Linked DNA regions of Macaca mulatta. The protein of the gene in region 5 purifies or fractionates together with the protein of the main gene of each other region. This does not show direct contact. Links are inferred from orthologs where the notes say so. Each region holds a gene or a part of one and is shown on either strand. Other genes may lie near its edges.

What was found.
Region 1: the proteins of NAPA (region 5) and STX12 purify together in Homo sapiens (affinity purification with mass spectrometry; 4 studies listed by BioGRID and IntAct, counting the BioPlex papers as one, with this or other methods). This does not show direct contact. The link is inferred for Macaca mulatta from reciprocal best matches to the Homo sapiens genes NAPA and STX12.
Region 2: the proteins of NAPA (region 5) and STX16 purify together in Homo sapiens (affinity purification with mass spectrometry; 4 studies listed by BioGRID and IntAct, with this or other methods). This does not show direct contact. The link is inferred for Macaca mulatta from reciprocal best matches to the Homo sapiens genes NAPA and STX16.
Region 3: the proteins of NAPA (region 5) and SCFD1 purify together in Homo sapiens (affinity purification with mass spectrometry; 3 studies listed by BioGRID and IntAct, with this or other methods). This does not show direct contact. The link is inferred for Macaca mulatta from reciprocal best matches to the Homo sapiens genes NAPA and SCFD1.
Region 4: the proteins of NAPA (region 5) and VTI1A purify together in Homo sapiens (affinity purification with mass spectrometry; 3 studies listed by BioGRID and IntAct, with this or other methods). This does not show direct contact. The link is inferred for Macaca mulatta from reciprocal best matches to the Homo sapiens genes NAPA and VTI1A.
Region 6: the proteins of NAPA (region 5) and NAPG purify together in Homo sapiens (affinity purification with mass spectrometry; 3 studies listed by BioGRID and IntAct, counting the BioPlex papers as one, with this or other methods). This does not show direct contact. The link is inferred for Macaca mulatta from reciprocal best matches to the Homo sapiens genes NAPA and NAPG.
Region 7: the proteins of NAPA (region 5) and VAMP3 purify together in Homo sapiens (affinity purification with mass spectrometry; 3 studies listed by BioGRID and IntAct, with this or other methods). This does not show direct contact. The link is inferred for Macaca mulatta from reciprocal best matches to the Homo sapiens genes NAPA and VAMP3.

What each region holds. Positions count from the first base shown.
Region 1 is NC_133406.1:213,128,267-213,131,850, forward strand, and holds part of STX12 (syntaxin-12), read right to left. Parts: intron 2,684-3,584; coding exon 2,578-2,683; intron 1-2,577. UniProt on the Homo sapiens protein: SNARE promoting fusion of transport vesicles with target membranes. Together with SNARE STX6, promotes movement of vesicles from endosomes to the cell membrane, and may therefore function in the endocytic recycling pathway.
Region 2 is NC_133415.1:111,443,241-111,447,266, reverse strand, and holds the start of STX16 (syntaxin-16), read right to left. Parts: upstream 2,858-4,026; 5' UTR 2,121-2,857; coding exon 2,040-2,120; coding exon of another isoform or gene 1,977-2,039; exon of another isoform or gene 1,909-1,976; intron 1-1,908. UniProt on the Homo sapiens protein: SNARE involved in vesicular transport from the late endosomes to the trans-Golgi network.
Region 3 is NC_133412.1:103,727,495-103,731,711, reverse strand, and holds the start of SCFD1 (sec1 family domain-containing protein 1), read right to left. Parts: upstream 2,878-4,217; 5' UTR 2,866-2,877; coding exon 2,808-2,865; intron 1-2,807. UniProt on the Homo sapiens protein: Plays a role in SNARE-pin assembly and Golgi-to-ER retrograde transport via its interaction with COG4. Involved in vesicular transport between the endoplasmic reticulum and the Golgi.
Region 4 is NC_133414.1:124,588,139-124,592,359, reverse strand, and holds the start of VTI1A (vesicle transport through interaction with t-SNAREs homolog 1A), read right to left. Parts: upstream 2,856-4,221; 5' UTR 2,697-2,855; coding exon 2,603-2,696; intron 1-2,602. UniProt on the Homo sapiens protein: V-SNARE that mediates vesicle transport pathways through interactions with t-SNAREs on the target membrane. These interactions are proposed to mediate aspects of the specificity of vesicle trafficking and to promote fusion of the lipid bilayers.
Region 5 is NC_133424.1:59,984,874-59,988,978, forward strand, and holds the end of NAPA (alpha-soluble NSF attachment protein), read right to left. Parts: intron 3,283-4,105; coding exon 3,214-3,282; intron 2,347-3,213; coding exon 2,296-2,346; intron 1,304-2,295; coding exon 1,202-1,303; 3' UTR 551-1,201; downstream 1-550. UniProt on the Homo sapiens protein: Required for vesicular transport between the endoplasmic reticulum and the Golgi apparatus. Together with GNA12 promotes CDH5 localization to plasma membrane.
Region 6 is NC_133423.1:81,479,287-81,483,630, forward strand, and holds the start of NAPG (gamma-soluble NSF attachment protein), read left to right. Parts: upstream 1-1,486; 5' UTR 1,487-1,599; coding exon 1,600-1,655; intron 1,656-1,778; coding exon of another isoform or gene 1,779-2,155; exon of another isoform or gene 2,156-2,807; intron 2,808-3,130; exon of another isoform or gene 3,131-3,725; intron 3,726-4,344. Other genes in the region: uncharacterized protein LOC114673869, read right to left, coding at 1,779-2,155. UniProt on the Homo sapiens protein: Required for vesicular transport between the endoplasmic reticulum and the Golgi apparatus.
Region 7 is NC_133406.1:233,019,333-233,023,677, forward strand, and holds the start of VAMP3 (vesicle-associated membrane protein 3), read right to left. Parts: upstream 2,853-4,345; 5' UTR 2,790-2,852; coding exon 2,788-2,789; intron 725-2,787; coding exon 655-724; intron 1-654. UniProt on the Homo sapiens protein: SNARE involved in vesicular transport from the late endosomes to the trans-Golgi network.

The DNA.
Region 1 (3,584 bases), on a different chromosome or scaffold from region 5:
AGGGGCTGACTGTATTTTTTCTTTTTTTTTTGAGATAGAGTCTCGCTCTGTTGCCAGGCTGGAATGCAATTGCTCACTGCAACCTCTGCCTCCCGGGTTCAAGCGATTCTCCTGCCTCAGCTTCCCAAGTAGTTGGGATTACAGGCATGCACCATCACACCTGGCTAATTTTTTGTATTTTTAGTAGAGATGGGGTTTCACCATGTTGGTCAGGCTGGTCTTGAACTCCTGACCTCAAGTGATCCACCCATCTCAGCCTCCCAAAGTGCTGGGATTACAGGCATGAGCCACTGCACCTGGCCAGTAATTTTTTTTTAAAGGAAGGATTATTATTATTATTTGAGACAGAGTCTTGCTCTGTTGCCCAGGCTGGATTGCACTGGCATGATCGTGGCTCACTGCAGCCTTGATCTCTTGGGCTCAAGTGATCCTTCTACCTCAGGCTCCTGAGTAGCTGGGACCACAGGTACATGTTACAGCACCCAGTTAATTTTTTATTTTATGTAGCGGTAAGGTCTTGCTACATTGCCCAGGCTGGTCTTGAATTCCTGGGCTCAAGCAATCATCCTGCCTCAGCCTCCAACTTGCTGGGATTACAGGCATGAGCCATTGCACTTAGCCGTATTTCTAATGTTAGACAATTAATTCAATTAGTAGTAGCAGTAGGTGAAAAAGAGTAAAGATATGACATCTTTGAAGGCAATAAAATAATCATAACTTAAGGATAAACTATCCCATCTAAAAACAGACACGACCAACCTGGCCAAAATGGCAAAACCCCATCTCTACTAAAAATACAAAAATTAGCCAGGCGTGGTGGCAGGCACTTATAATCCCTGCTACTTGGGAGGCTGAGGCAGGAGAATCGCTTGAACCCAGGAGGCAGAGGTTGCAGTGAGCCAAGAATGCGCCACCGTACTCTAGCCTGGGTGACAGAGTAAGACTCTGACTCAAAAAATAAATAATAAATAAATTAAAACAGACATTGATGGCCTCTAGGACAGTGGGTCTCAACCCTGGCCGCACATTATAATCACCTGGGGGAACTTTTTAAAAAAACACCCATGCCCAGGGCCTCATGCCCAGAAATTATGATTTATTAGTTTGAACCATATAAAATAATGGATATTTGCCCATGTTTAACATATAATAAACAGGAATTTCATATTATTCCATCAAATAATTAGTGCTAGATGAGAGCTGGGCATTAAAAAAAAATCTTCTCCAGGTGATCCTCACATGCAGTCACCATTCAGAACCACTGCTCAAAATTTCCCTCTCTCCTTTTCTCCTCCCCCAATCCCAGCAATGGCAGCCTTCTACCTTCAGAGAAAACTAAACTGGAGAAAACTCAGGGTTAAGGATATTTTAGCTGGGCACAGTGGTTCATGCCAGTAATCCCAGCACTTTGGGAGGCTGAAGCAGGCAGATCACTTGAGGTCAGAAGTTCAAGACCAGCCTGGTCAACACGGCAAAACCCTGTCTCTACTAAAAATACAAAAACTAGCTGGGTGTGGTGGCGCGTACTTGTAGTCTCAGCTATTCAGAAGGCTGAGGCAGGAGAATTGCTTGAACCCAGGAGGGGGAGGCTGCAGTGAGCTGAGATAGCGCCACTGCACTCCTGCCTGGGCGACAGAGCGAGACTCAGTTTGGAAAAAAAAAAAAGGATATTTTTATTAGTCACTGTGCAAAATTAAAGTTGAAAGCTCAGTTAGGTAAGAAAGGCCTACAGACTTCTCCCTCAACCTCCACCTCAAAAACTGTTCCTATTTCTCTGACCCACTGAAGGGATAAGATTTACAACTTGGGATTAGACTTTAGGATACATAAAAATGGAGCAAGACTTTTGGCCTGCCTTTATTCTGGGCTCTTCAGACTAAGCAAAGGGGCTCTCCATGGAGTCCTGCCTAAACCAGAGGTTGGCACTGAGATTTGAGGTCAAAGTTCTAATGAGCAATAAAATATCTGTCTGCCTTGTTCTGTTGTCCATGTACATCTCTCCAGGAGAAATAAGATATGGTGATCCATATAAGACGTGGTGATTGAAGAAAGGATTTGAGTACTCCTGGGCACCAAAGCCAATACCGTTATAACAGTAGTTCATGCCGGGTGCAGTGGCTCACGCCTGTAATCCCAGCACTTTGGGAGGCCGATGTGGGTGGATCATCTGAGGTCGGGAGTTCGAGACCAGCCTGACCAACCTGGAGAAACCCCATCTCTACTAAAAATACAAAATTAGCTGGGCGTGGTGGCACATGCCTGTAATCCCAGCTACTCAGGAGGCTGAGGCGGGAGAATCGCTTGAACTCAGGAGGCAGAGGTTGCGGTGAGCCAAGATTGCACCATTGCACTCCAGCCTGGGCGACGAGCGAAATTCCGTCCAAGAAAACAAAACAAAACAAAACAAAAAAACAGTAGTTGAAACCCACCATGATTACACAGAGACAGAAAAAATACAAATCACACAATGACACATTTTATGCTTTTTCATAATCACTAAGAGAATTAAAGTGAACTAACGAGTCCAGATACCTGCAGATACACTGAGTCAAACAAAAAACATGACCTGGCTCTCACCTCCAGCTGCCGAATTGCCGTCTCTCTTTCTTTAATAAGTTCCAAATCCTGCTCAGTGATGGCCACCTCATCCTCCTGGCTCTGCATCTGGTTCCACTCCTCATGGCTGCAGGCAGACAAGCACACTAGGTGATTTCTCCTCTCAAAGGCATTACAAGACATCTCTACTGCCAGCATCTCTACTGCCAGCAGAACCTATGCAAAGACATTACCAGGGCTCCACTCCTCTGCTATCAATAAAGTACTGGAGGGCCACATTCTTCATATCCGGAAGCAAAGAACTGATTATACCAGGAAAACAAAGACTCAGCTTCCATGGACAAAGCTGACATGTAGCAGAATTATGAGGGATGGGACTCCTGGCTGCTTCCATTTAGGGGTATGCTCTGTAATCTCACTGGGGCTTGCCAGACAAGGAAAGTAGCCAGAGATTTGAACTCATTGAATTATGTTGCCCCATCATCTTCCAGAGCACTCTCAAAGTGCAAGCTGCATTGGTACCTTCAGTACCAAGTGGGTGGAGAAGAGCAAGCTAAGTGACCTATCAGTGCTTTGCCAGTTAGTTCAACAGAATCACATCTCCTGGTTTTCAGAAACTTCCTTGAGGTTATGCTTTGGGTTAAATACCTCTTAACAGGCCAGGCATGGAGGCTCATGCCCATAATCCTAGCACTTTGGAAGGCTGAGGCAGGAGGACTGCTTGAGGCCAGGAGTTCAAGACCAACCTGGCTAATATAGCACAAATCTCATCTCTATTTAAAAAAAAAACCATAAAAAAACCTTCTTAACAGAAAGCTAGTGAAATGTTATAACTCTTTTTTTCTTTTTATTTTTTTTAGAAACAGGGGTCTTGCTTTTTTGCCCAGGGTGGTCTCAAACTCCTGGCCTCAAGCTATCCTCCTCCCTCAACCTACCAAAATGCTGTGATTACAGGCTTGAGCTACCATGCCTGCCCTCTTTTTTGTTTGTTTTTTTGAGATGGAGTTTCGCTTTTTCGTCCAGGCCGG
Region 2 (4,026 bases), on a different chromosome or scaffold from region 5:
GAAATATATTTTTAGTTGGGTTTAGAAATCATTTTCAAAAAACTGTGAGTTAGGTAAATATATCTGTATATATCCTGACGTATCTATTTTTCCAAACTGTATACTTTAGCTATCCATTTTTAGTTCTTTTGCTTAGCTTAAATATTTTTTTTAAATTGCCTAACTTAGAAAATAATTTTCTAAAGTGGTTTGATTCAGAGAAGGACTTTTAAAAAGCTTCCTGTCTCAGATACTAAGTTTTTAAACCATCTGACTAAATGGGGGAAAAAAAAAACCCTCATGTTACCCAAAGGTTCAGGGTATTTTGAACCTTAATGATTAAAAATTGAAAAATAAACAATATGTTTTTCAATCAATTAAAACTGATACCTTAGAAATCTTAATATCAGTTTCAGTTGTTTTTGAGGCAGCACAAAAATCAAGTCATTTAAGGAACATGTAGTTCTTATTTAACATTACTGAAGTACCATTAAGGAATTGTATTCATCCAATTGCTACTCAATTTCTTGGCTTATTTTTTTCTTCAAAATTAGCGCTAGAATTAGCCCGTTTCTATGCTACCAGACATCTTTATATTTATTTCAATATAATGTCATTCCTTTCAGTTTATAAATGTAAAACCCTTCAACTTCTTAACTGAAATCTCACACACACTCTGTCCCTGTTTCTAGGCTTTTTGACCTGAGTTTACATGCTTTTATTCCTGAAACCGCTCATATGGCTTAAAATCACTTTTCTATCAGTTATATGGCCAAAGACATTCTCCACTTGTGACTTACAAAAAGGAGAAACTGTCTTTGTAGACATGATAATCATGACATATGGCAAAATTTTTCTGAAACATTTAGATAAAGTCACAAAGAAAAAAATGAACTGGCAATACAGTCCCTAGGAGGTGAAATAAATGCGGGGTTTCCAAAATTGCCTATCAAGTATAATCCCCAAGAATGTGGTCCTGGGATGGCTATAACCCGCCTGTTCCAACGCTGCTTCTATTCCAACCTAGCCTCCCTACAGCAGGTAGCCTGAACTACAGCCAATTTCATAACTTCACTTTTCAATTGAAGACATTACCGAGCTAACGATCACTGTCTGGTATAGATCATCTAGACTCGCCCCTTATTTAACAGAGCAGTAAACTGAGGCTCAGAAAGGGAAAAGTAGCCCCCATTAAAAACAAACCAGAAACAGTAATTTTTCCAGGACCACCCTTAAAAAACACTACTGCTAGGCTAACTAAAGGTTCTGGCTAATTTAAAAAAAAAAAAAAAAATGTTATTTTAGAGGGTTAATTTTCACATATACCTCCTCAGGCTTTTTTAAAAAGTTCGAATGGAGAGGAAAGCGTAATTTCCCGTCTGGGAAATGGAAAGTGAAGAGGCTAGCACCTCGAGTCTTAGAAACCCAAGCCCCCAGGAAGAACAGTGAAACAATTATTCATAGGGAACAAGGCCACACAAGGGCTGCGGGACCGTTAAAACGGGCAGAAAAACAAAACAAAACAAAACAACAACACAACTGCTTCCTCTTTAGGAGAGGGAGTCGTTCATTTGCAAGGATTTGGGTCCATGGTCCCGCGACCCAGCCATTAGGACCGAACTGAGGCTCACTATTGGGGGGAGGGGAGCTTCAAACAAAACGAAACAAAAAGGCTTCAGAAAGGCCCAATGCTTCCCAATGTTAGCGTTAAAACATATGTAAATTACAGGCGGCCTGTAGCGCAGTGACGCCAAGGCGGGGGATGCGCGGGGGGGGTGCTGCGGAAGTGAGGAGAAGACAAGGCAGAGGTGGAGCTGCGGCCTCACAGCACCGCTTTTTCCCCATCCAGGGTTACAGATGCCCCCTGATTCTAGCCAAGAGATCTTATTATCCTTAGTCTTATTATTCTTATCTTCTTTTATTAAACAGAGAGACAGACAGAGACAGACAAACAGGCAGAGCCGCAGTGCACACGGTCCGTGTGTCGGAGAGGCCGCCGGGAGACTCACCGCAGCAATGCTACGTGAATGCAGAGGGCTGGAGGTGGTGTGACTACTCACTTGCTCGGCTAACAGCTGCCGGTTTTGGATGGAATTATTCCGCAACAACAAGAAAGCGTCGGTTAAACGCCTGGTGGCCATGTCTCACCCTTTGTGACCCCCCTCTCAGGGGCCCCCCGCCCACTTATATTCCTGGTTTATTCACTTTCTTTCTCTTGACCCGGCCGGCCCACCCTTTCACAGAAGCTTCTCGACAAGGCCTCAGGCTTCAAGCCAAAAAGACGCAGCTGTGCCCTTCGCCAAAGCGTAGAGACCCCTCCCCAAATAACTACCTAGGCTTTCCAATTGTCTGACTCCCCCTACCCAGGACCGACTTCGATCTCTAAGCACTTGAATCCCCCCAATCCTTGCGTAGCGATCCAACGTTCCAGAGACCCCACCCCAATCCAACCTTGGATCTACAAGCGTCTAACTCGCCAATCCAGCTCTGGACTGGGAGGCCCTGAAGCCCCCTACTCCCTGAGACCCCCAAAGGTCTTTGCTCTCTACCCCTAACTTGGCTCGTAAGCGTCTAGGCCGTGCCCTGAGGTCTGGCTGTGACTCAGTTTCCCCACCAGAGGCCTGGCCTAGGCCCTCTTTGGACAACCGGAGCCAGGCCTGAGGCCTGGACTCCAGGGCGCCTGCAGCTCCCTTCTGGGGCCTTGTCTGAGCCTGCTGAGGCCCTGCCCGACCTCCTGACCCCTTCCTTTCCTGGGTGGCCTGGTCCTCCACTGCCAGCAGGCTGCTGGCCTGCAGGAGGACAGCAGGGCCTGCCTCCCCGGCCTTCTCACTCCTCTTCTCCGGCTCCCTCCATCCCCGGATCTGACTGCAGCTCAGCCCCGGGCCGTTTCCGTACTGTGGTCCCGGGTTCTGGCGTCCCCCCTGGCCCTCTTCCTGTCCGTCCCTCGCGAGTGCCCCCCTGCGACTCTCGCAAGCCTTGCTTGCAACGTTCCGGGCGCGGGAGCTCCCTGCACTCCTGCCCCGGGGCACGAGAGTGCTCCGCCCTCTCCCGGGGTGCTCCTGGGGCGCCCCGTTTCGCCTTCCCCAACTGGGTCTAGGCACTAGGAGCAGGCCAGCGAGCAGGCCCGAGCCTGGGGAGCGTGACCCCCAGGCTGCAAACCGCTGCCAGGGCCCTTGGTCCCTGCATTAGAGTGGAAGTTGCGCGGCAGGCAAATTTGGGCTCCCCGAGAGCCGAAGTTTTGGGCGCGGGGAGTTGGAGCGGGAGAGGAAAAGTTGGAGACGACTGCCTCTGCAGGCCGAGCACGCTCTACTGCAGGCGCTGGCGCTCGCTTTTTTTTTTTTTTTTTTTTTTTTTTTTTTTTTCCCACTCTGAAAAAAGATGTACCCGACAAACAACCAGGAGGAAAAAAAAGGAAAAAAAAAAAAAAAAAAAAAAAAGCGAAAGCTCCAGGCAGTCTGGCCGCGCAGCCGCCGGCAGTCGGGGGTCGTTGGGGGCGCCCGCCCTCCCCAGCTGCCGCTTTCTGTAGGTGGCACTACAGGGTCGTGGAATCTCAAGTGGAAAAGTTCCCCGAAAACTTTGACACCTCCTGCCCCCGTCCCCGCGAAAAATATCTCTGTTCCCCGCCTGGGCCCTGGCCCGGAGCACCCCGCGCCCCTGGCGTCCCGGGCCCGGTTTCTCGCCGTTGGCCAGGCCCGGGGCGCCCTAAGCACCCCGGCTTGCCGTCCCGGGCCAAGTCGGCGGGGTTCGTGCAGGGGCTCCTCGGGGCCGCGTCGGGCAGCAGCTGCCCGGGCCCGAGCACGGCGCCCAGAAACAGGCGGGCGCCCAGTGACGGAGGCTCTGGTCTGGCCCGGAGCCGCCCGGGAAGCCTGAGGCCAAGGGCCTGGCCCAGCGCTCGGCGGGAGCGGGTCGAGGGCGCAGAGCTGTGCTGCTGCGCCTTCCGGGCCCCCGGTCTGTCTAGGGCCGGCTTCCCCTTGCCGGGCGAGGGTGCGGGCCGGACTCCGGAGTGGGGTTCCAACAAAACACCTAGGCCCCAGAAGCGGCCCCCAC
Region 3 (4,217 bases), on a different chromosome or scaffold from region 5:
CAGGCACTGTAGTCATTGGGGACCTAGCAACTGAAGAAAACAGTGAATAAAATCGCCTGTCCTCAAGTAGCTTTCATTCTAATTGGGGGATAGGGAAAATAAAAAAAAGATAATAATAAGTAAAACACATGGAATGTAGATCATGGTAAGTGCTATGAAGAAAGGTAAGATTGGGAAAGAGGAAGATGGAGTTGGGGTGTAATTTTAAACAGAGTAATTGGGGAAGGCCTCCTGAGAAGGTAACATCTGAGTAAAGACCTAAAGGAAATGAGGGAGTGAGCCATGGAGATTCTCTCTGAAACAGTATTCCACAAAGAAGAAACAAATACAAAGGCTCGAAGGTGGGAGCATTCCTGGTGGGTTCAAGGAGAGGGAAGAGAAATAGGGAATGAGGTCCAAAAGCTACATGGGAACCAGATCATATAAGTAAGGCCTTGTAGAACACTGTAAGATCACTTTGGCTTTTATCATGGTTGAAATGGGAAGAAGCTGGAAGACTTTGAGCAAACATATGGCATGATCAGTTTGGGTACTGTGTGAAAAATAACGAAGGAGAACAGGATCGTAAAAGCAAGGAGACCAAATAGGTTATTGCAGAAATTCATAGTGGATAGGATCTGGAAATAGCAATGACAACAGTCAGATCCTGGATGTATTTTCAGAGTAGAACTGACAAGATTTACTGAAAGATCTTACATGAGACATGAAAGAGACAAGTCAAGAAAACTTCAAGGTTTTTGACCTGCAACTAAAAGGATGCAACTGCCATTAACTGATATGGAGCAGACTGAGTTCAGATGGGAGGGCCAGACTAGGGATATAAACCTGGGAATCATCAACATAGAGAATACTGAAAGCTAAGTTGCTAGATGCTAACACTAATGGGACCCAGCAACATTGAGAAGCAGGGAAGATGTGCAAGAACTTGTAACGAAGACGCATTCAATGAAGAACAACAGTAACACAAAGCAGGAGGCAACTGATTCTACCTGTTGAACTGAAGGTATGGATAGAGAGGACAGTAAACCTGGAAGAAAGGAGATAGCTTGTGAGCTTGTGGGATGACATTCAAAAGACCAATAAAGATTTTTCAGGCAGGCAAAGCAAGAAACAGGCATGTTAGTTTACCTCTATCTTACTTTCCTCACCTGTAAAATGGAGATAATAATACATAATCACCTAAAGCAATGCCTAACCATAGTAAATGCTCAATAAATGCTAACAATTATCTCATCCACCCAAATATTTCAGTATCGAGAATATTTGAGGATTGTGAGTTATTTCCCAAAACATTCTCAATAGGCATGAGGGAAATAGCTAATTCTGTATTACAATATATACACAAGGATTTACCTTCCTCTGAAAATGAGGCAGAATTCAATGACAGTAAAAATATGATAAAGAATAGATCTAGCACAATCTATCTAGTAATTCTGTAAAATCTCAACTATGTTCATTTCTGCAGAAATACAAACGATTAGATTTTAATGATCTACAAAGTTTCTGCATACAAGTTTACTGCCATGCAAATTTATTTTTCAAAAAGCTCTCTTGTATTGGTACAGTTTCACTGACACGTTATTTTAATATGTAGTATAGTCATCAGAAACACAGCATTAAAACAAATGGAGCTTCTATTTGCTTAAACAGATACAATGAATGGCAGGTATGCCCCAAATCTTATTTGAACTTCCCTATATTTGATTATGCCTGACTTCACCTGATAGGTTACACTAAATTATTTACTGGGAAAAGCAGAACGCAACTCAGCATCTTTTGTGTGTCATTACTAGATTGAAGTCTAACATTTTTCTTTAATTTCTTTAAATGCCAAAGAAAGGAATCAAGTACAGCCCAAATTCCTTCTGTAGGTCATATGAATTATAAATTCATTTTTCTATTCATATTTATATCCAACAGGGCATAATTTCAGCAAACAGAATTCCAAGTATGCACATGCTTGACGCCTTATTTCTATTAGCTCCTCAGAATAAATGGCTTGAAAACTTTTAAGACAACTAGTTCAACCTTTAGTTTGTAGCTCACAGGTATAAACCAAGTTGTCGTAAGTTTTCAAATAAGGCAAAACTAATTTCTAAGAGGGAAAAAACCCCAAAACTCAAGAATATGTAGCTTCTTACATTTCTCTGCATAAATACAAGCTATATAAACATGCTCTATTGAAGATAAAATATTATTTTAAAACAATAATCTGTCAAACAATTAAAATGAGAAAGCTATTAATTCAATTCCTCAATGCCTTCCAGCAAGGTGAAGGAGAAAATCTTTTATCACCAGGCATTTTTCTGCAGGTACCCCCAAAAGGCTGGTCCGAAGTAGAGAAGTGGCGCAAAGCAGGCCGCTGTGAAAATACCTAAATTCTGTAATTGTGGTGGAAGTGCCAGAAAATGGGAGTTCTCTCAAAAATCAAAACCAGAACTGAACCACGCACAGAAACAAACTCGGAGACCTCATAGGTGGCAACATAGATAAGAAGCTATCTGCTGCTAGATCTTGTTGTGATGGCCTTCTGATGCCCACTAGGAAGGAGACAAGAGCAAGGCCATAGCAATCTGCCCACCGCTAAAGCTCCTTCTCCTGCACCACAGGAGGAACCGAGTCAAGCTAATGGCATCTTCTCCCCAAAAACTCAAAGGGGAGGGGCTCTTGATGTTCTAGGGACTGGATTAAACTCCCGGAGATCGCTCTCTGAGCTGCACGCACCACGACCGAGTGAGGGCGACAAGCACAGGAGAAGAATGTCGTCGGGGCAGTCACGAAGCTTCAAGAAGAGAGTAAGTCAGTACCTGTCTGCCTTTCCCGAATACTGGCTGCTGCTGCTGTCGCTGCCGCCGCCGACGCCATCTTGACTCCCACGAGCCACTGCCCGGCTGGCGAGCGGAGCCGGGGGATGACGTGGCTGCCCTTACCGCCCCGGAAGCAAAGCCCGGAAGGGCGGGGCAAAAGGGCGTGCCTGAGGGCCGGACTCCACCTCCTCGAGGAAGACCTCCACTCTCGATAGAACTGGGAGAGCCGGTGCAGGTTAACTCAGTGGCCCGTAATGTTAGCCGAATACTACGAGTTTTTATCCTGTCTTATCAAGCCACACTCTCTCAAATGGTAGCAACATTAAATTGAACTCTTAGGGTAGGAGCGTGTAGTGCTAAGAACCTAATTACTGAACTGTTGGCTTGGTGGCTTACAGAGCACTGACGGGGTGATAATACTCTAGGAGTATAAGGACCACAGGACTGAAGTAAATGAAGCTCCTGAAACACAGGCAACATTTTAACGTTAGCTCTAGTTTCTCAGTGCAGCAGGAGTCTTCCCTTTGCTCCTTTTTCCAGAGAAACAGAAAGCATTGGAGCTTCACTCTAATCTGGCATATTTCTCAGTCGCATCTCTTAAAAAAAAAAAAAAAAAAAAGGGTCTAGCTTTATGGTGGCGTTCTGCCGGCATGGACACGGGATCCAGGGAGGTACAAAATGAGAAATTAGCATCTCTCCTCTTTCCTTGTAGTAATTGCAAAATCACATTGCCGTGGGAAGGAAGTTGCCCAGGCTCAAGTGCGCAATCAGGGCTCACTGCAGCCTCAAATTCCGACTGTCAAACGATCCTCCTGCTTCAGCCTCCCAAGTAGCAAGGGACTACAGCGGCACACCATCAGGACAGGCTGATGTGCTGGTTTTTTGTTGTTGTTGTTTTTGAGATAGTATCTCACTCTGTCGCTCAGGCTGGAGTGCAGTGGCAGAGTCTCAGCTCACTGTAGCCTCGACCTTCTGGACTCAAGCAATCCTCCCAAACTATCCTTCCACCTCAGCCAACCCAGTAGTTGAGACTACAGACAGGTGCCACCACGCCCAGCTAATTTTTTTTTTTTTTTTTTTTTTTTTTTTTTTGTAGAGACGGGGATTCAGCATGTTGGCCAGGCTGGTCTTGTGCTGGCTGTTTAATGTACACTTGAAGCCACATGACCACAAAATTTACGGGATTTCTAACTTAATCTATAGATTTTACTGTATGACAAAAATGGATACACAATGACAGCTCATTTCCCGAGTTCATTGATGACACTTCATTATGAAGCTGCACCAAATTCTGAAATGAAATCAGACTCTGCCTCAAAAACTTGACTTTCAAAATTATATAAATGAAATGAAGTTAGCCTAACGATTATGTAAGACTGTTTTATAGTGTGAAACAATGGCTTTTTTCAT
Region 4 (4,221 bases), on a different chromosome or scaffold from region 5:
GTAGTCCCAGTTACTTGGGAGGCTGAGGTGGGAGTAGCCTTGAGCCAGGAGGGAGAGGTTGCAATGAGCTGAGATTGCACCATTACACTCCAGCCTGGGCGACAGAGCAAGACCCTGTCTCATAAAGAAAAAAAAAATAAAAGAATTATGATTATTCAATAATACAAGTCAGTAAGCATTTTTCCAGAGCCAGCAATGCAGTCTCCTTTCAATTGTAACGTAGCTCCTGTGTTTGGGCCTTACATAATACTACAGCTAAGGAGAGGCACAGTTTTTTTTTAATTTATTTATTTGTTGAGATGGAGTTTCGCTCTTGTCACTCAGGCTGGAGTGCAATGATGCAATCTCGGCTCATCGCAACCTCTGCCTCCCGGGTTCAAGCGATCCTCCTGCTTCAGCCTCCTGAGCAGCTGGAATTACAGGCACGCGCCAACACACCGGGCTAGTTTTGTATTTTTAGTAGAGACAGGGTTTCTCCATGTTGGTCAGGCTGGTCTCGAACTCCCGACCTCAAGTGATCTGCCCGCCTCGGCCTCCCAAAGTTTTGGGATTATAGGCATGAGCCACCCGCGCCCCACCCACAGTTTTATTTTTAAGGTACTGAATTCAAACAGTTTCCTTCTATGTGTTAAGAATTGTTACATTAAAATATAAAGGTAAGAAAAAAATTGTGACACGATCTGTTTTCTTGGAAATAGTTTTTACAACTTTGCATGCGAGGATGATTTTGTTACCTTGTAAAACAGCTTCCCAATACAAAAGCTAATAACCCAAAGAAATGTTTCTACTGCTAAAACAATTACAATTAAAAATGAGTAAAACTCTAACTGGAACCACAAGTCCTGATACTCTGAGGCTCTGGGACTCAATTCAAAGGAAGTGGTCTCCAACAATAACAAAAATCAAGATGATCTCTGGCAGTGGAGAAAAGCAGAACTGAAGAGAAGAGGCGAGGTGATGTATCATGAAGAGGTGAGGCCATCAGCCACTTTCGACACAAAAATCTCTGAGGCAGCAGAGCTTGGTGGTATATACTACCTTGGTTCTCTCCTCTTGTTCCCTTACTTGGACTCATAAACCTCTTTAAGACATCATCCATCTCCTCCAGAACTAACTGGGGACTTCAGGAGATGAGTGGGTTGTAAGTTCAGAGATCCTGGCTTCAAGCAAATATCCGTATTAACAGAAAATAGGTGAGGGGAAGAAAAACAAAGAAATAAGGGGAAAAAATTACTTATAAACATGTAAGTTTTGGGGGAAGTAGGGAAAGGGAAAGAGGAATGACAACTTAGGTCCGGGAGAAATTACTGCTAGTACCAGGACAACTGGGCAAGTGAAGTGCCCACCAATCCGAAGATTAATGAGCGCATCCCCCTTTCTACACTTTACATCCTGGAGCTAGGGTAAGGACAAGCCTAGCAGCCAGATGATGGTTCAGTTTCCCTAACAAAACTAAACAAAAATGTAAAATCCTTTTCTGTGATTAACTACTCAAATCTGTAGAGAAAGATAATCCCCGAAACAACATTTTCCAAACCAAAGTTACAAAAGATCATATTTATATTCACCTGCTCATTCACTTATTTTTCTGAGCCCCTAATAAGTAAGCACCAAGCAAATCAGACCCAGCTCCCACCTTCACAAAGGTGACAGTCTAGCATAGAAAATCAGATGTGCTAAAACACAAAAGCAAACCCCAAAACAAAAACACTTCCAGATGGGAGATGTGAAATTTTTTAAGTGTGAAAAACTATCTTGTACCAACTTTGACATAAAACTGCGTTATATAATAAATCCCCAAGAAGGATGAGAAACAAGAAATGGGGATGGGGAGATATGAAAAATACTAATGCTAATACAGCAACTAACAACACCAAAGGGGCTTTAAATATGTTTTTTAAATTTAATCTACCTAACAACCCCATGACAGAAGTACAATTTCCCCCCATTTACTAAGAAGAAAAGTTGAAAGAGACTAAGCAGTCTGCTTAAGAGGCACAACTTTTATTTTATTATTTTATTTTATTTATTTATTTGAGACGGAGTTTCACTCTTGTTGCCCAGGCTGGAGTGCAATGGCGAGATCTCGGCTCACTGCAACCTCTGCCTCCCCAGTTAAGAGGCACAACTTTTAAGTGACAGAGGTGGGATTTGAATCTAGGCACCCTGATTCCTACCTCTATTTTGCCACATATAATTATAACAATATTATTACTAACACAACAACGCCGCTGTAGATTGTAGATCCATCAACTACGTACTTTCATTCATTTTCTTTTAATACTCACATCTCTAATTAACAAACGAAAACATTAAGACTCTTAAGACGTTAAGAAACGTTTCCAGGTTATACAAGTTCCAAGGGAGTGAAGTCGGGATTCGAACTCAGATGGCTCAGATTCCGAAGGCTCTTTTCACTGCACCCCACACCCGAACTTGACTCTTTACCCTCAACCAAGGCAAGCCCTACCCCTCCGGGAAACAGCCAGCACCACCCACTCCAGCCTCGCGCCTCACAGACACACTTGTTCGGGCGGCGTTCCACCGCCCGCACCCTCCCCGCGCTCCCCAGCACCCTCGCCCAGTCGGGCAGAGCTCTCACCAGGCGGGAGTCGTGGGACCCTCGCAATCTTGCTAGTGATCTCTGCAGTGAGCACCGCGAAGTCCTGCTCGTAACCTTCGAAGTCGGACGACATGACGGCTCCGGAACGAGTGGCCCAGGCCAAAGCCTAGGTCAGGGAAACGGCCTCGAGGGGCAGCGAGGGGCGCCGCGGCTTAGGAACCCCGGGAGGTGCCCCCGAGAGCAGAACGGAGAACCGGGAACAGCTCTCAACCCAGTCGCTTCCTGGTTGTTCGTCGCGATCTCGGTTCTCCGGAAATTGGGTTGCGTGCGTGCTTTATTTTCCGCTCCGTCTTTAAGATAATTAAGTTCGCTAAGGAAAAGCGCCCCAATTAGTGGCCCCCCAAAAAAGCGTATGAAAATATGCAGGTTCTGAGGGATCATTAGGAGAGTTTTTTTTCCCCTTCGTGTTCTGGGAATCGGCTCCGGATCCCCAAGCTACAGGTCACAGGAACTTGCTTCCGGAGGGAAGTTTGAGGCGGCGAACCCCCGGAAGTGACTGTAACGGAGACTGCGCAGGGGTCCTGAGCGGGAGAGTCGCGACGAGGGCGCTGGTCGAGAGGCATTTGGCTTGTAGCAGGTCCCGCACTCCAACCTTTCGCGGCCAGGGTTTGCTCTCTGCTTGTCCTGGACTGAGGTGCCCATGACGGAGTTATCCAAGGAGGAAGAAATCTGTTCCGGGTGAGCCCAGGCCGCCCCGGATATGCGATGGCTGAAGAGCGGACACCAGGGACCACACTGAGGTGGGAGTCAAGGCAGGGAATATAAGCAGGATTTTGGTGGTCTTTGCCCCCCCAGAGTAGGAGCCGGCCCTCCTGAATGTTGAGACCGACCTGGCTTACTAGGATATTTTTTCCTTGGGTGAGGATTTATTTCTAAGCCCTGTGCTCGATGACTCGGGCGGGAAACTGAGGCACAAGTCAACAGCGTCTGCTCTGTGGTAGTCTGTATTATCTATGTAGCTCAGATCTTCTTCCAGATCTTCGGATCCTGTCCAGGCAGAGATGCCCTTTCACAAATCTCCCCCGAGTTCGCCGTCCTGCCTTCCGTTTCCCTCGCTCCAGGAGGCACTTCCTCTTCTTTCTTCCCTGGAATCTTCTAATTCAGGTTCTTCTCCTGTATTCTTCTGGTCATAATTTCACACACATCACACACACTCTCGCTGTCTCTCTTCCTTTCCTGGCGTGCTCTCTTTGCTTTCACTCTCGCTCCTTTACTTTTGGGCCAGATTGACTGTTCTCTTGATGTTTGGGTGGCGGGATAGAGGGGAGACTGCAGGCAAATGGCATAGACCATGTCTGATTCACACTTGGCTTAATTCAAGACTTTAGAATTTCATAAAGGGAGTTCATTGACTTGCCTTCTATTCTGGTTCACCCGTTTGTGACCTTGGTCTAATCACTCAGCCTCTCTCAGCCAATTTCTATTCTGTGAAGAATTCGGAAACCGAATTAGATCAACTCTAAGGTCCTGGTTGTCAGTTCTAAAATTCTTTGTCTTCTCAAACTATTCACTAAGCATTGGATGGTGACAGTCCCCTGAGAAGCTGAGAAGGAATAAAAACAACTATTTTGGAATCATGTATCCAGTTTGCATACCAT
Region 5 (4,105 bases):
TGGTTCCTGCCCACTTTTCCCGGGCAAAGGCTCCTGCTATCTCCTCCCCCACTCCCCAGACCCACTCGGGCCTCAGACTCTGCCCACCAAAGCCGCTTCCTCCCCCGTCCTGTGACAGATGGAACAACTGTCACCGGGGCGTTCAGCCTTCCTGCCAGGGAAATGTGGACATGGGAGATTCGGCGAGCTTCCACCCATTCTCATCCAAAGCAGTCATGAGGATTGTCATATTCGACCCTCCCACTGGCTCTGAGGGGTGGCATCATCACCATGCATCCCAGTTGAGGAAACCAAGGTCCCTGGACCCCAAGAACCCAGAGAAAGTTAGATCAAGATGGGCGCTCTGGGACTTCCAAGCCAGAGCTCCTCCCCAGGCCCACCATCCCTGGGTCTCCCCAACCTAGAAACTGACCCAGCCCACACGTGTTTCAAGGATGCATGCTCCCAACCTCCCAAGAGCTTGCCCAGAGTCTGGGGGACCAGGAGTGTGAGGAGAACAGGTGACCGGCCCAGGGGCAAAGTGGGTAGCAGAGACAAGGAGGAAGAGAGACTCATGCAAAAGTGTTGTTTTTTATTTTCTTTCTCGGGCCAGCTGCAGCTTCCAACCAAGAAAACCTCAAAGCATTAGGGAAGGAGCAGGTGTGGGGCTGGGGTCGGGGACAACCCCCTAAGCTCCAGGGCCCGGGGTCTAACCTGAGAGGTCGGGGCTGCAGGAGGCTGGGGGAAGCTCCCAGAGTTTGGGGGAAGAGGAGCTTCCCCCCGTAGAGACAGCAAGTCTCAGCGGCTACATGTGCTTTAGAGCTTGGCTGGGGGACAAAAGTGGGAGAGACAGAAACCGGCCTCATGAATCAGCTGGTCAGGAGATGGGGGGCCAGATGCTGACCCCAAACCCCCGGCAGCACCCCTAGCAAATAGGTCTGTATCAAAGATTCTGTACAGCTGGTTTTGGGGGTGAAGGGCACCTATGGGGGCTTAAATAAATGGGCAGGGAGCAAGGGATGTAGCGAGAGCAGAGGGTGACTGTCCAGCCAGCAGCCTGGGCCTCTGGTGCCCCCGCATGCTGACCCCCGCTGCCACCTGCCCACTGTGGCCTGCGGGACTCCCCAGGTGGGAAAGGAGGGAAGCTCTCCAGCAAGTCTCGGCCCCACCTCTCTCTAAGCAGATGGGACACGAAGACGGGCGCTGGGAGGCTGGGTGGGGCTTAGCGCAGGTCCTCCTCGTCGCCCTGGATGGTCTTCTTGATGCGCAGCAGCATGGTGGTGAGCCACTGGTCCAGCCGGGAGATGGAGTCATATTCCTTCACCTGAGGGCACACCAGGTGATGGGCTGGCCATGCTCCTCCCTGTTCCCAACCCTGCAGCCCAAGGGCACTTGTCTGAAGGTTTTCAAGATCTGTCCCTGTCACCCTGGTCTCTGAGAAGGAGCAGAGGGAGGGCTCGAGGCCCCGACTCAGCCAGGGGAGCTCCTTCTTGTCTGTCTTGACTATGCTAGGCACAACATTTCCCTTGGGGGAGAGGGATTGTAGCTTTAAAAAAAAAAAAGGTCCAGCATCCTCATTGAATGGGTGGGAAACTGAGGCCTGGAGATACGGAAAAGGCCACTCCTGAGTGCCATGGGGCATGGGAGAGAGAAGCCGCAGCCTGCTGGGCATCCCCTCCCTGAGCTCCTGGCTGAGTTGCCACCCACTGTCCGGGGCAAGAGGAACCGGATGGCATTTGCTCGCTGTCCTCAGCTAGGGGCTTCCATTCCCAAGGGGCACCTGGGGAGAAATGCTTGACATGTGCCATTAGAGGAGCGAATCAGGACCTATAAGCCGGACGCCACTGAGCCCAGGAACGCTGGGAACAGAGAAAGGGAAGGGAGAGAGAGCCACGTGGGCGGCTCCACCAGGCAGAGGGAAGCTGGCGCCTCTCCCGTGTCCTCAGCTCCACTCTCCTTCTCACCCTTTCCCTCCCAGTCTGTGCCTCCTGGGTGCCCAAGGCGGCCACTGTGAGTCTCACACACTCAACTGGGGGACTCAAGGAACCCTGGTCTTCAGGAGCAGACAGATGTGGCTCTGAACACCAGCTCTGCCCCTGAGGTGCCAAGGCCACCATCTGTAAAATGGGGAAAACACTCCCTGCATCTCTTGGGGCTACTTGTGAGGTTTCTGGGGTGAATGGAGAAAGAAATTCACAGTGGGCTGGGGGCCAGATAAAAATGGGTGAATGTCAGGGGAGAGCATGTCTGAGAAGGGCGGCTTTCCTAGGGGACCCATCCCTGTGAAGGGGCCTGACCCCCATGCGGGCCACTCACCGACTCGGTGTAGCTGTCCACATTCTGCTCCTCGTGGGCCTCTAGCAACTTCTGCAAGGAAATGGCAGAGAGGGGTCTGGGGCCCAGGCTGACCTGAGGTCGGCCTGGATTAGATGAAAGCACACACTATCTATATGCCAGGCCTGGGGCTGGGGTTTCCTGAGGACTCTCAGAGGGTCAGTCCATGTGGGTTAAACTGGGGACAGGTAGGGGCGTGTTGCAATCCTGCTGCCCTACTCATCAGAAACGGCTAGCTCTCAGGGCAACCTTACCAACATAGAACATCACACAGAATGTGTGTGTGTGTGGATATGTGGTGTGTCTGTGGTGTGTGTGTCTGTGGTGTTTGGTGTGTGTGTGGTGTGTTTGGTGTGTGTTATGTGTGTGAGGTATGTCGTGTGGTGTGTGTTATGTGTGTGAGGTATGTCGTGTGGGGTGTGTGTCGTGTGTGGTATGTGTGGTGTCGTGTGTGATGTGTGTGGTGTGTCGTGTAATGTGTCGTGTGTGTGTGTGTGGTGTGTGTAGTGATTGTGTGAGGTGTGTGTCGTGTGTGGTGTGTGTGTAGCATGTGGTGTGGTGTGTGTAGTGTTTGGTGTAGTGTATGTAGTGTTTGGTGTATGTGGTATGTGTAGTGTGTGGTGTACGTAGTGTGTGTGGTGTGGTGTGTGTGTGGGATGTGTGTCATGTGCATGTGGGGTGTGTGTGTGTGTGTTCACCCAGCCATCCCGAGCTCCAGCACTCCCCAAGTTGTACTTTCTTTATCTGAAAAATGGAGAGTCAAATGGCCAAAGAAAAGAAAACAAAATAAACATACCCTCTGAGAACCACTGGACAAGTCTTGATGATTGTCCCACCTGGAGCCCCGGCCACCCCCATCTGGGGTTCGGGAAGGGGGAGGCTGGAGCACCCAGCACTTACTTTCATCAACTTGCATTCCCGGGAATCAGAGAAAGCTGGGAACAGCTCCTCATACTTCTGGACAGCCAGCTGGGCAGCAGGGAAGGGGGAGGATGAGTTAGTAACAAGAGGGCCCTCAGAGCTGCTGGCCTAGCAGCCGAGGGGACTTGGGGATGTCTGGTGATACTGAGTCAGCTCTTTGCGCCCCTCCTCTAGCCTCAGGTGTCACCTGGCTCTGTTTGTCAGTACCTTCCCGCAGCTGAGCTCAGCACCAGCCTGGCTGGCAGAGACGGCTGCAGGGAGAGGTGGGTGGAGGGGGAAGGCTCCTCAGACAGGTACCCACTGCCTCCTCCCACCTGGCTCAGCTGGGGCAGGGGACAAATGAGCACATCCTCCATGGCAGGCCTGGGGCTGGTGCTTCTTGAGGACCCTGAGAGGGTCAAATAACGGTGAGCCCCTTTTTGAAAGTGAGGGAACAGATCCAGAGGGGGCAGTGACCTGCCCAGGGCACGGTGAGACATGGGGTGGGAATGTGAACCTGGTCTGACAAAGCCCAAGCTTTTGCCCACCACCGGTGCCCACAGCAGAGCAGGGCTCTATGGGGTGTGTGTGTGGGGGGTGTGTGGGGCCATCACCCCAGGCCGTGAGGCAGGGGTTTGGGCAGCCAGGGACACCAGGAAATCCTGGACTCCATGCTTCTGCCAGGCAATGGCAGGAAAACTCCAGCCAAGCAAAATCTAGCACCAACCCTCCAGCTCCTTCCCTCTGGCCACGTCCCCTCCCACTGCCCTCTCTGGCCCCTCTTTTGCCAAGCGCCCCGAAAATAGGTGGGCATGTGAGCTACAGCTAAAGTCGTGACAACGGGAGTCACAAAGATCTGGAACGCTGGGACTACAGGTCCCTAGCCATGTGG
Region 6 (4,344 bases), on a different chromosome or scaffold from region 5:
TAGGAGTTTTGAGAAGGAAGGTGTGAACAGCCCCCGAAAGAGTGGGTGAGTGATTTGACCACGGAAATGTGGGAGCGTTGCTCAGCAGCACCAAAGGTCGGCTTGATGTTTATGATCATTAAAATGAGTCATGTTAGCATGCTCGTTTGTTTTTTCCAGTCAAATTCACTTGCTCAAGAGGAGTTCCAGAGTAGGTGGAGAGTTGGGGTTTTTCCTGGCTGGGAGAAAGGAGGGAGAGGGAGCCAAGGCCGTTGAGAGTACATGCACTAAAATGATGGGACCTGAATTTATGCTGGGAAAAGAGGGAAGTGTAAGAGCAGAGGGATAGGGAGAGGTGAGGAATCTGATGCAGGTAAGTAATTACTGGCACTAAGAGGTATGAGCTGGAATGGAAAGGGAATGTAAAGTGAGCTGCTTGAAACCGACACTATGGAGGGCACACAGTTATGAGTAAAGTCAATGGTGTAATACCAGGAGTGTGTGGCTGCGCTGGTGTGGGAAGATCACAGGAGGCTGGAAGCTGAGAGGCTGTATAAGCATTGCAGGAATCATCCATGTGGATATTGAAATCACCATGAATTATGAATGGAGCCAACTGTATTACTGGTTACTATTTTTACCAGACCACTGTACGCGACTTTAGATCCCTCAACTTCCCGTTTAGAGCACTTATCGCGGCTTGAAATATTAGAGCGATTATTTGCGCCGGGCACGGATTATTAGACAGTAATCAGGGCTTACAAGTCTGTTTCGTTTCTTGACTGACATACGATTAATACCCAAAAGGCAGGATGGATAGATAGATGAATACTAAGGCCGGGCGCGGTGGCTCAAGCCTGTAATCCCAGCACTTTGGGAGGCCGAGACGGGCGGATCACGAGGTCAGGAGATCAAGACCATCCTGGCTAACACAGTGAAACCCCGTCTCTACTAAAAATACAAAAAACTAGCCGGGCGAGGTGGCGGGCGCCTGTGGTCCCAGCTACTCCGGAGGCTGAGGCAGGAGAATGGCGGGAACCCGGGAGGCGGAGCTTGCAGTGAGCTGAGATCCGGCCACTGCACTCCAGCCTGGGTGACAGAGCGAGACTCCGACAAAAAAAAAAAAAAAAAAAAAAGATGAATACTATTCTATCTGTGATACAGAGAAACTTCAGATGTAATAAATTATAAGGCCAAATAACCCTACAAACAGGATCCACAGTTTCACATCAATGAAAAAGCAAGACTTCAAGAGGGCAGGAGTTTTTGTCTGCCGATTTTCCCGCGTCTAGCACAGTGCCTGACACATATTAAGTGCTCTGCAAAAACTGAATGAAAGAACACGCCCCATCAGTATCTCACCGCGCCTGCGCTAGATGCCCTGGGTGCGGCCAGCCTTGAAGCGCTGCGCCTGCGCGATGTCTCTTTGCGGGGCGCCCCGGTTGGTTCCCAGCCCCGCTTCGCCGCAGAGGCTTGGGCCGTCCGGCCCTCCGTAGTCGCTCGACTGTCGCGCTGCACCAGCCTCCTCCTCGGCGTTCCCACGCCTATTTGGGCGGATTCTTGGCGCCCGAGGAAGAGGTAGGCGCACCGTGTCTCCACGTCAGAGACCGGACTGTGGAGATGGCGGCCCAGAAGATAAACGAGGGGCTGGAACACCTCGCCAAAGCAGAGAAATAGTGAGTGAGAACCTTCCATGGGCCTGCGTGTGGACGCCGGGTCCGTCTCTCACTGGCGCGGCCTTAGCACCCGGCGGGGCGGGAAGGAGGGGTCAGGGATAAGGGGACCCGGCGCGCTGGTACCTGCGGGGCTGCAGGGGCTCGGTGTCCCCTGGGTCGCACTCCCGGGGTCGAGCTCCCGGGATCGGGCTGGAGTCAGGTCCGCTGCGCCTCGGGCAGCGCCGTGGGTCCGCCCCGCCGGAAGTCCGCTCCCCGTGGCTGGTGTGGGCGGGGACCCGGCGCGGTGCTGCCGGGCTGGTAGGTAAAGGGGGCTTCTCTACTTGTTGTGATCGGGGCTGTCGGTGCGTCGGAGGCTCGTTAGCAACATCCCTGGCCTCCACCTGCTGGGTGCCGGTCGCACCTCCTCCCCGTTTGTGGCAACCCAAAATGTCCTCTGGGGTACAACATCGCCCTGTCGAGAACCACTGCCCTTGAAAAGCTCCTTGTGTGGAGGGGACCATAGGTTTACCCCAAAAACTCCTCGGTGAACCTTTGTCATCTGGCAGTTTACTTTTCCTGTGGGCAGGGACTGTGCTCCTTTCGTCCTTTGATGTGTATGTCCTTCCACCTCTGGTACAGTACGTAGTAGGCACCCAGCAAATGTTTGTGGGACTGAACTGATACTCCTTAATTTATCCTTTGGGCAGCCTCTTCCCCCCCCCCCCCCGTTTCATTACTCCAGCGCATTTTTATCTGTCAGTTACAGTTAATAGAAAGCCAGCATCGTGCTCTGTGGTGGGGGCTTCACATACATCATTTCGTAAGCTGAGATCTTCACAATAACTTTCCAAATAGAGATGATAATTTTTCGTAAGAGGAAATGAGACTTGGGGAAGCCTCCTAACGACTTATGCCAAACCGCACAGGTGAAAGATGGCAGAGCCAATTTTCGAACAGTGGAAAAACTCAGGCTATCACATGACTTGAGGCAGTCAGTGTGTAAGGTACTGGGGCTCGGGTTCCCACAACAATCTGACTTTCTAGTGGGAGCAAACGCAAAATTTGTAGTAAGAGTAGTGTGTAGAATAGGGACCACAAAAAAAGCTGTATTAACTGTGCATAGGTAACGCAGAGGGAGAAGTTTATTCTTCATGAGAAAATTTGAGGAAGAAGGCCGGGCGCGGTGGCTCAAGCCTGTAATCCCAGCACTTTGGGAGGCCGAGACGGGCAGATCACGAGGTCAGGAGATCGAGACCATCCTGGCTAACACCGTGAAACCCCGTCTCTACTAAAAATACAAAAAAAACTAGCCGGGCGAGGTGGCGGGCGCCTGTAGTCCCAGCTACTCCGGAGGCTGAGGCAGGAGAATGGCGTAAACCTGGGAGGCGGAGCTTGCAGTGAGCTGAGATCCGGCCACTGCACTCCAGCCCGGGCTACAGAGCAAGACTCCTTCTCAAAAAAAAAAAAAAAAAAGAAAAAGAAAATTTGAGGAAGAGATGATTTGTGAGCAGGGCCTGAAAAATACAGAATGTTTTAGACAGAGGGGAAATCTTGTGAAAGAGATTCTGTGCGCAAACTGTAGTATGTATTATACACGGGCCTGAAAATGTGCTCTGGGAACAGTGAATGTAGTGTAGTCACAGTGCCAGAGGACGAGCTGGAGTGAAGAAGAGTTGGGGCCAGACTGTGAAGGGACGGCTTCTCAGATGGCTGTTGTAGGCATCTAACCAGAGAACCCGGTTAGATTTGCTTTTGGTGGAAGAAATGTGGCAGCAGGCTGGGCGCGGTGGCTCACGCCTGGAGTCCCAGCGCTTTGGGAGGCTGAGGTGGGCGGATCACTTGAGGTCAGGAGTTTAAGACCAGCCTGGCCAACATAGTGAAACCCTGTCTCTACTAAAAATACAAAAATTAGCCAGGTGTGGTGGCGCACACCTGTAATCCCAATTGCTCCGGAAGCTGAGGCAGGAGAATCGCTTGAGCCCCAGAGGCAGAGGTTGCTGTGAGCAGAGATGGTGCCACTGCACTCCAGCCTGGGAGACAGAACAAGACTCTGTCTCAAAAATAAAAAATAAAAAGGAAAAGAAAAACGTGGCAGCAGTGTGGAGAATGAACTTTGACATATTCAGTAAACAAACATTTACAAATTGTCTCTGCGTACTTGTGCCAGCCACTGAGGATACTGGAGTAACCAAAGTGGCCCCTTCTTCAAGAACTTAGAATTCACAGACGGGCAGACAAGTGAACAGAGGACTAAAAAGAAGATATTCAGTGCTAGAAGTATTCAGTGTAGTATGGTGGAGATATGAAGCAAGGAAAAGGTAATATGCTCCGGGTGTGGGGAATGGAAGAGGAGGAAAGGTGACTGTCCCATGAAGGTAGTGCCAGACATGTTAGTGGGTTGTTGACTTCAGGGGAGAGGTGGTGATGGCCTGGATTCAAGTACAATACAGGGGTGGGATTGGGTGACATTTGTCAGTATGTAGTTGACATGCTTTAATGACCTGCCTACATATAGAGATGAAGGGTTAGCTCCCAGGTTTCTAACTTGGGAGTGGGAGAGGCCTTCAGCCAAGATAGGGGATAGGGGTTAATGGATGTGCTTGGTGAGTAGGTCTGGGGCAGGGAGGTGTGGGGTTCAGGCTTGAAGTGTTAGTTTGAAATGCTGCTAGACAGTTACTCGGTTGGTGGTAGGAAAAATGGGCCAGGAGCT
Region 7 (4,345 bases), on a different chromosome or scaffold from region 5:
ACCGAAACATATCTGTTGGACAGTGACAGCTTTTAGGAATGTGGAAATACTAGTCTGAATTTCTCAATCTTTTGCTGTGGTTCTCCACATACAGTGCAGAACAAAAGATGAAGGTCCTCTAGCTCAAGAATTCTACAAATAGAGATTTGCTGGGCTAATGGAGTTTGACAGTATCTACTTTGTGTGAGTCAGTGGACAGCCATTAGAGATGAATTCTACAGAGAGGCTTGCTCAGGCTGGATAACTAGTAAGTGGACAAAGCATTTTGATAAAAAATCTGATCAGAAGAACTGGTCTTGGCTTGAGCAATCTAAAGACCTAATCCTAACATTGTATTATCCTATTTTATAAAGTGGTTCTTGGGGAATACACTCAGGGAGTGGTGTTCATGTTTTAAGCATATGATTTTTTATTTTTCCTGAGCTAAATGTTATGAGCAGGTATGTGATTCTACCACAGGAAAACAAGCATGAAACCTAGAAAGTCTGACTTTTGCTTAGATCTTCCAGCACAGCAGGGAGCAAAGTTTTGTTACAATTATGATACAGTCAGAATTTGCTTTACATTCACACTTTCATGATACTTTTTCTAAACAGATTTCCAGAGTGCTCATACTTGTTTAAAATTCATATTTCCAACATTTCAGAGCAATACCTCATCTACTTGATTTTGTGTCTGCTGAAGTCTTCGATTACTGCCAGGGGCAGCAGTTGGACCTGTAGACCTGGAACATGTAAAGGCAGGAGCATGAGTAAATTATGATTCCAAATACATTTTCTTAAGTATAAAGAAGTTACTCCGGGACTCTCACTGTTAACAATTTCTTACATTAGAACTAAAGCAGAAAAAGAAATTCTTCCTGAAGCAATGAACAAAAGTTTTAATTACATTTCTTCTAATTTCTCTATAATTTCCAAGACTGTCCCACCTACTAAAGGGACAAACGTGAAGGTTTAATAGGACCTACTTTGTATCCCTGAAGTATCTGATCCCACGACAGGTAAACTCTACTGTCCTTTTTTGAAACTTGTTCTAAGGCACACATCTGCTTGAACGTACTCAGTACTCTCCTGATCTTTTCATTGTGGCAGGAACTGTTTTCATAGTTATAAACAGTTATAGAATGCCCTTTTTCCAATATAGAAAAATAGATTAATTTACAGAAACAGAGTCAGGAACACTGGGATGCAGGGAGCGGTTGGTGTGAGTGGAAAGGTGTGTTGAAGCAATGCTTCCCCTTTTAGGAAGGTACTCTTTTTTTTTTTTTTTTCCTCTTTTGAGAGACGGAGTTTCCCTCCTGTTGCCCAGGCTGGAGTGCAATGGTGTGATCTCGGCTCACTGCAACCTCCGCTTCCTGGGTTCAAGCAATTCTCTTGCCTCAGTCTCCCAAGTAGCTGGGATTACAGGCATGCACCACCACGCCCGGCTAATTTTGTATTTTTAGTAGAGACGGGGTTTCACCATGTTGGTCAAGCTGGTCTTGAACTCCTGACCTCAGGTGATCCATCTGCCTCGGCCTCCCAAAGTGCTGGGATTACAGGCATGAGCCAGCGCGCCCGCCCCGGGAAGGTACTCATCTTTTAAAATCTTCATCAAAGGCTTTATTTCTCCTCATGCAGATCCTTCTTAACCACTCTGACTCTGAAGTCATTATTGGCTCCATTACTTGGAAAGTATCACTTTGGTTTTTCAGGTATAAAGTCCTGCCTCCTCGAATAGATTACAGGTTCCTGGGTCTTCTTACTCTCTTCTCTGTATCCTAGATAGCACCTAGCATGTACCTTAGTATACAACAGTCTGATGGACTGTTTGAACAGTCACTTTACATCTGTCATGTGTCAATGACCAGGGCTACAACAGATCTCATCGCCGTCCTCACAGAGTTTAGTGTCTGGTAGATAAGTAAGGACCATGCCGTGGTGCTAGACTCTTTTCATGCATTTTCTCCTTCAACTCTCATAACTCTCTGAGGGGAATATTACTCCCATTTTACAGATGAGTAAAGTGAGGTTTAAAAAGTCAACACAGCTGGCTGCCGTTCAGATTGTTTTTAGATCAGGTCCTGTGTACCTGGGATCTAGATCTTAACCACTGTGATCTATTGACACAGCAGCCTCAGCAGGAACATTCGAGGGGGGGTCCCCAACTCCTGGAAGAAACCCGGGGCTTCCTCCGACGGTGAGCAATGAACAGAATGGAGGTGGAAGAGAGGGTCCTTGTGATTCTTAACCATGAACATTCTCTGAGCGTTACCACTGGAAGCACCGGTTTGCAAGGGCCACAAGAGCGCTTTCGCTTAAGAGTGCGAAGGCCCACGGTTAAGTGATCTTTCCAGTGCAGATGCCCCTAGCCAGGCAAGGAGCTCTTGGGCCCACAGTGGCTCAGCACAGGGCCGAGGTCCTTTCTTTTGCAACTTCCGGGGCCCAACTGGGCCGAGAGCCGGCCCTCCCGAACCAGGGCAGTCGTCCCCGTTCCTCTCCGGGACCTCTGGGACTAGAACGGGAAGGGGCGAGGAGCGGGGTGCGGGCGGGCAACTCACTTCCTCCGGGAAGCGCCTCGCCGCCCCGCCCTCGCCCCTTCCGCGTCCGCCCCATGGCAGCGGAACCCGCCCGGCCCGTCTGCAGCCCGCGCCCCAAGGGCTACCGCCCACCCCCAGGCCTCGGGATCCCCGCGCAGCCCCGGCCTGCGTCCGAGCGGCGGCCGGCGGCAACTGGGCGGTACGGCGATCCCAGCGCGAGCTGCCGCCTGCGGGGCCCGAAGCCGCCCGCGTCGCGCAGCGTCACTCACATTTTGGCAGCGGCGGCGGCGGCGGCGGCGAGCGAGGGTCAGCAGAGCAGCGAAGTAGGGACCGGAGGCCAAGGAGATGGGCGGAACGGCGCGACTCCGGGCAAAGACGTCACTAGGCAGGGCCGGCGGGAGTGGGCGGGGCGCAGAGGGGGCGCGCCGGAAGTGGGCGGGGGCGTCGTGGGCGGGCGCGTCGTGGCGGGCTCGTCCAGGGCGGGGTCAGAGCGAGATGTCCACTCCCTGGACTAGGTCACTTGGGAACTTGAGGGCCACAGGGGTCCCAGGGCGGTCCGGGCTCTGAAACGCAGAGTGCAGGTCAATACAGCTTCCTCTCTGCACCGCGGCCCGCGCTGGCGCTTGGGGACGTGGTCTGCAAACGTGGCGCATTAGGCACTGGCTGGGGACTGTGTGGATAAGTGAGGGTGGGCGCAACTCATGTTATTCTGGGCTCGGGACCATTTCTCTCTAACAGTATTAGAGACAGATGATTGGCTTCTGCTGAATGTTCCAGATTAACCTAGTGATCCCGAGGGCACCATGTTTCTCTGAGAAAGTAGTTGAAATAGGAAGTCCATTTCAGGTATTTGTCACATGGGGTTGGGTTAGGTTCCCGCTCATGTTTTCCTCGGTAACACAAATATTTGTCCCTGCAGATCATATTATAATCTGCTTACGAGAGCCTTAGCATCAAGACTGTAGTTCCTTCATTTCTGTATTTTTAGGCCCTAACACAGAATAGGTCCTCAGGTTTTGGTCGAAGGGAGGGAAGCACAAATCTGAACGCAGTGAGTTACCTTGTATATATTTGTCACTGAAATATTCCTACCAACACAGTTACCGACATCAAAAAATAAAACACTATAGGTGTTTGGTCATTGGTGGGTCTCTTAAATGAGAAGTGAAAAATACAGTACTTAAATACTATGCTGTTTTTTCCAACTCTAAATAGAATACTTCGAAAAGGGAAACATTCGTATATATTCGAATAAACGAGACTGTCACAAAGGCGGTGGGATTTGAGCTGGGTACTAGCAGAAAAGAACTTTCCAGTAAGGGTTGGACAAACACCATGAACAAAGACAGCAGTGAAAATGGACGCAGTGTGCACAGACCACCTACAGGGTGCAGGTTGGGTACAAGTGAAAAGAAGACTGAATAAAGAGGGTAAACAAGAAAAATGTCATTTGATTGTAGTGGGCCCTGGAAACCATTGACTCACGGACTTGGGAGATCCGTGCTGCACAATTTCTCTGGCAGTAGCGGCCAGATGGATCAGATGGAAGAGGGAGCACTAGGGAGATAAGGAGAGGCTCTGCAGTGAAAGGGAATGGAGCAGCGATGACACAATACTCAGAAAGGAGGACGTTCGTCATCGCTGGAAAATGCCTTTTAGAAGACTTTCAGAGGATTGTAACTGAAAAGGTGAATTAAATTAGTGTCTATCTTTCAAATAACTGCACTGCCTTACACAAATGATTGATATGTTGAGAGGCGCCTGGAAAGATAGGTGAAAAGCTCTCTGAATGGTGGCTGGAAGACATTTTTTCTTTCATGGACCTAG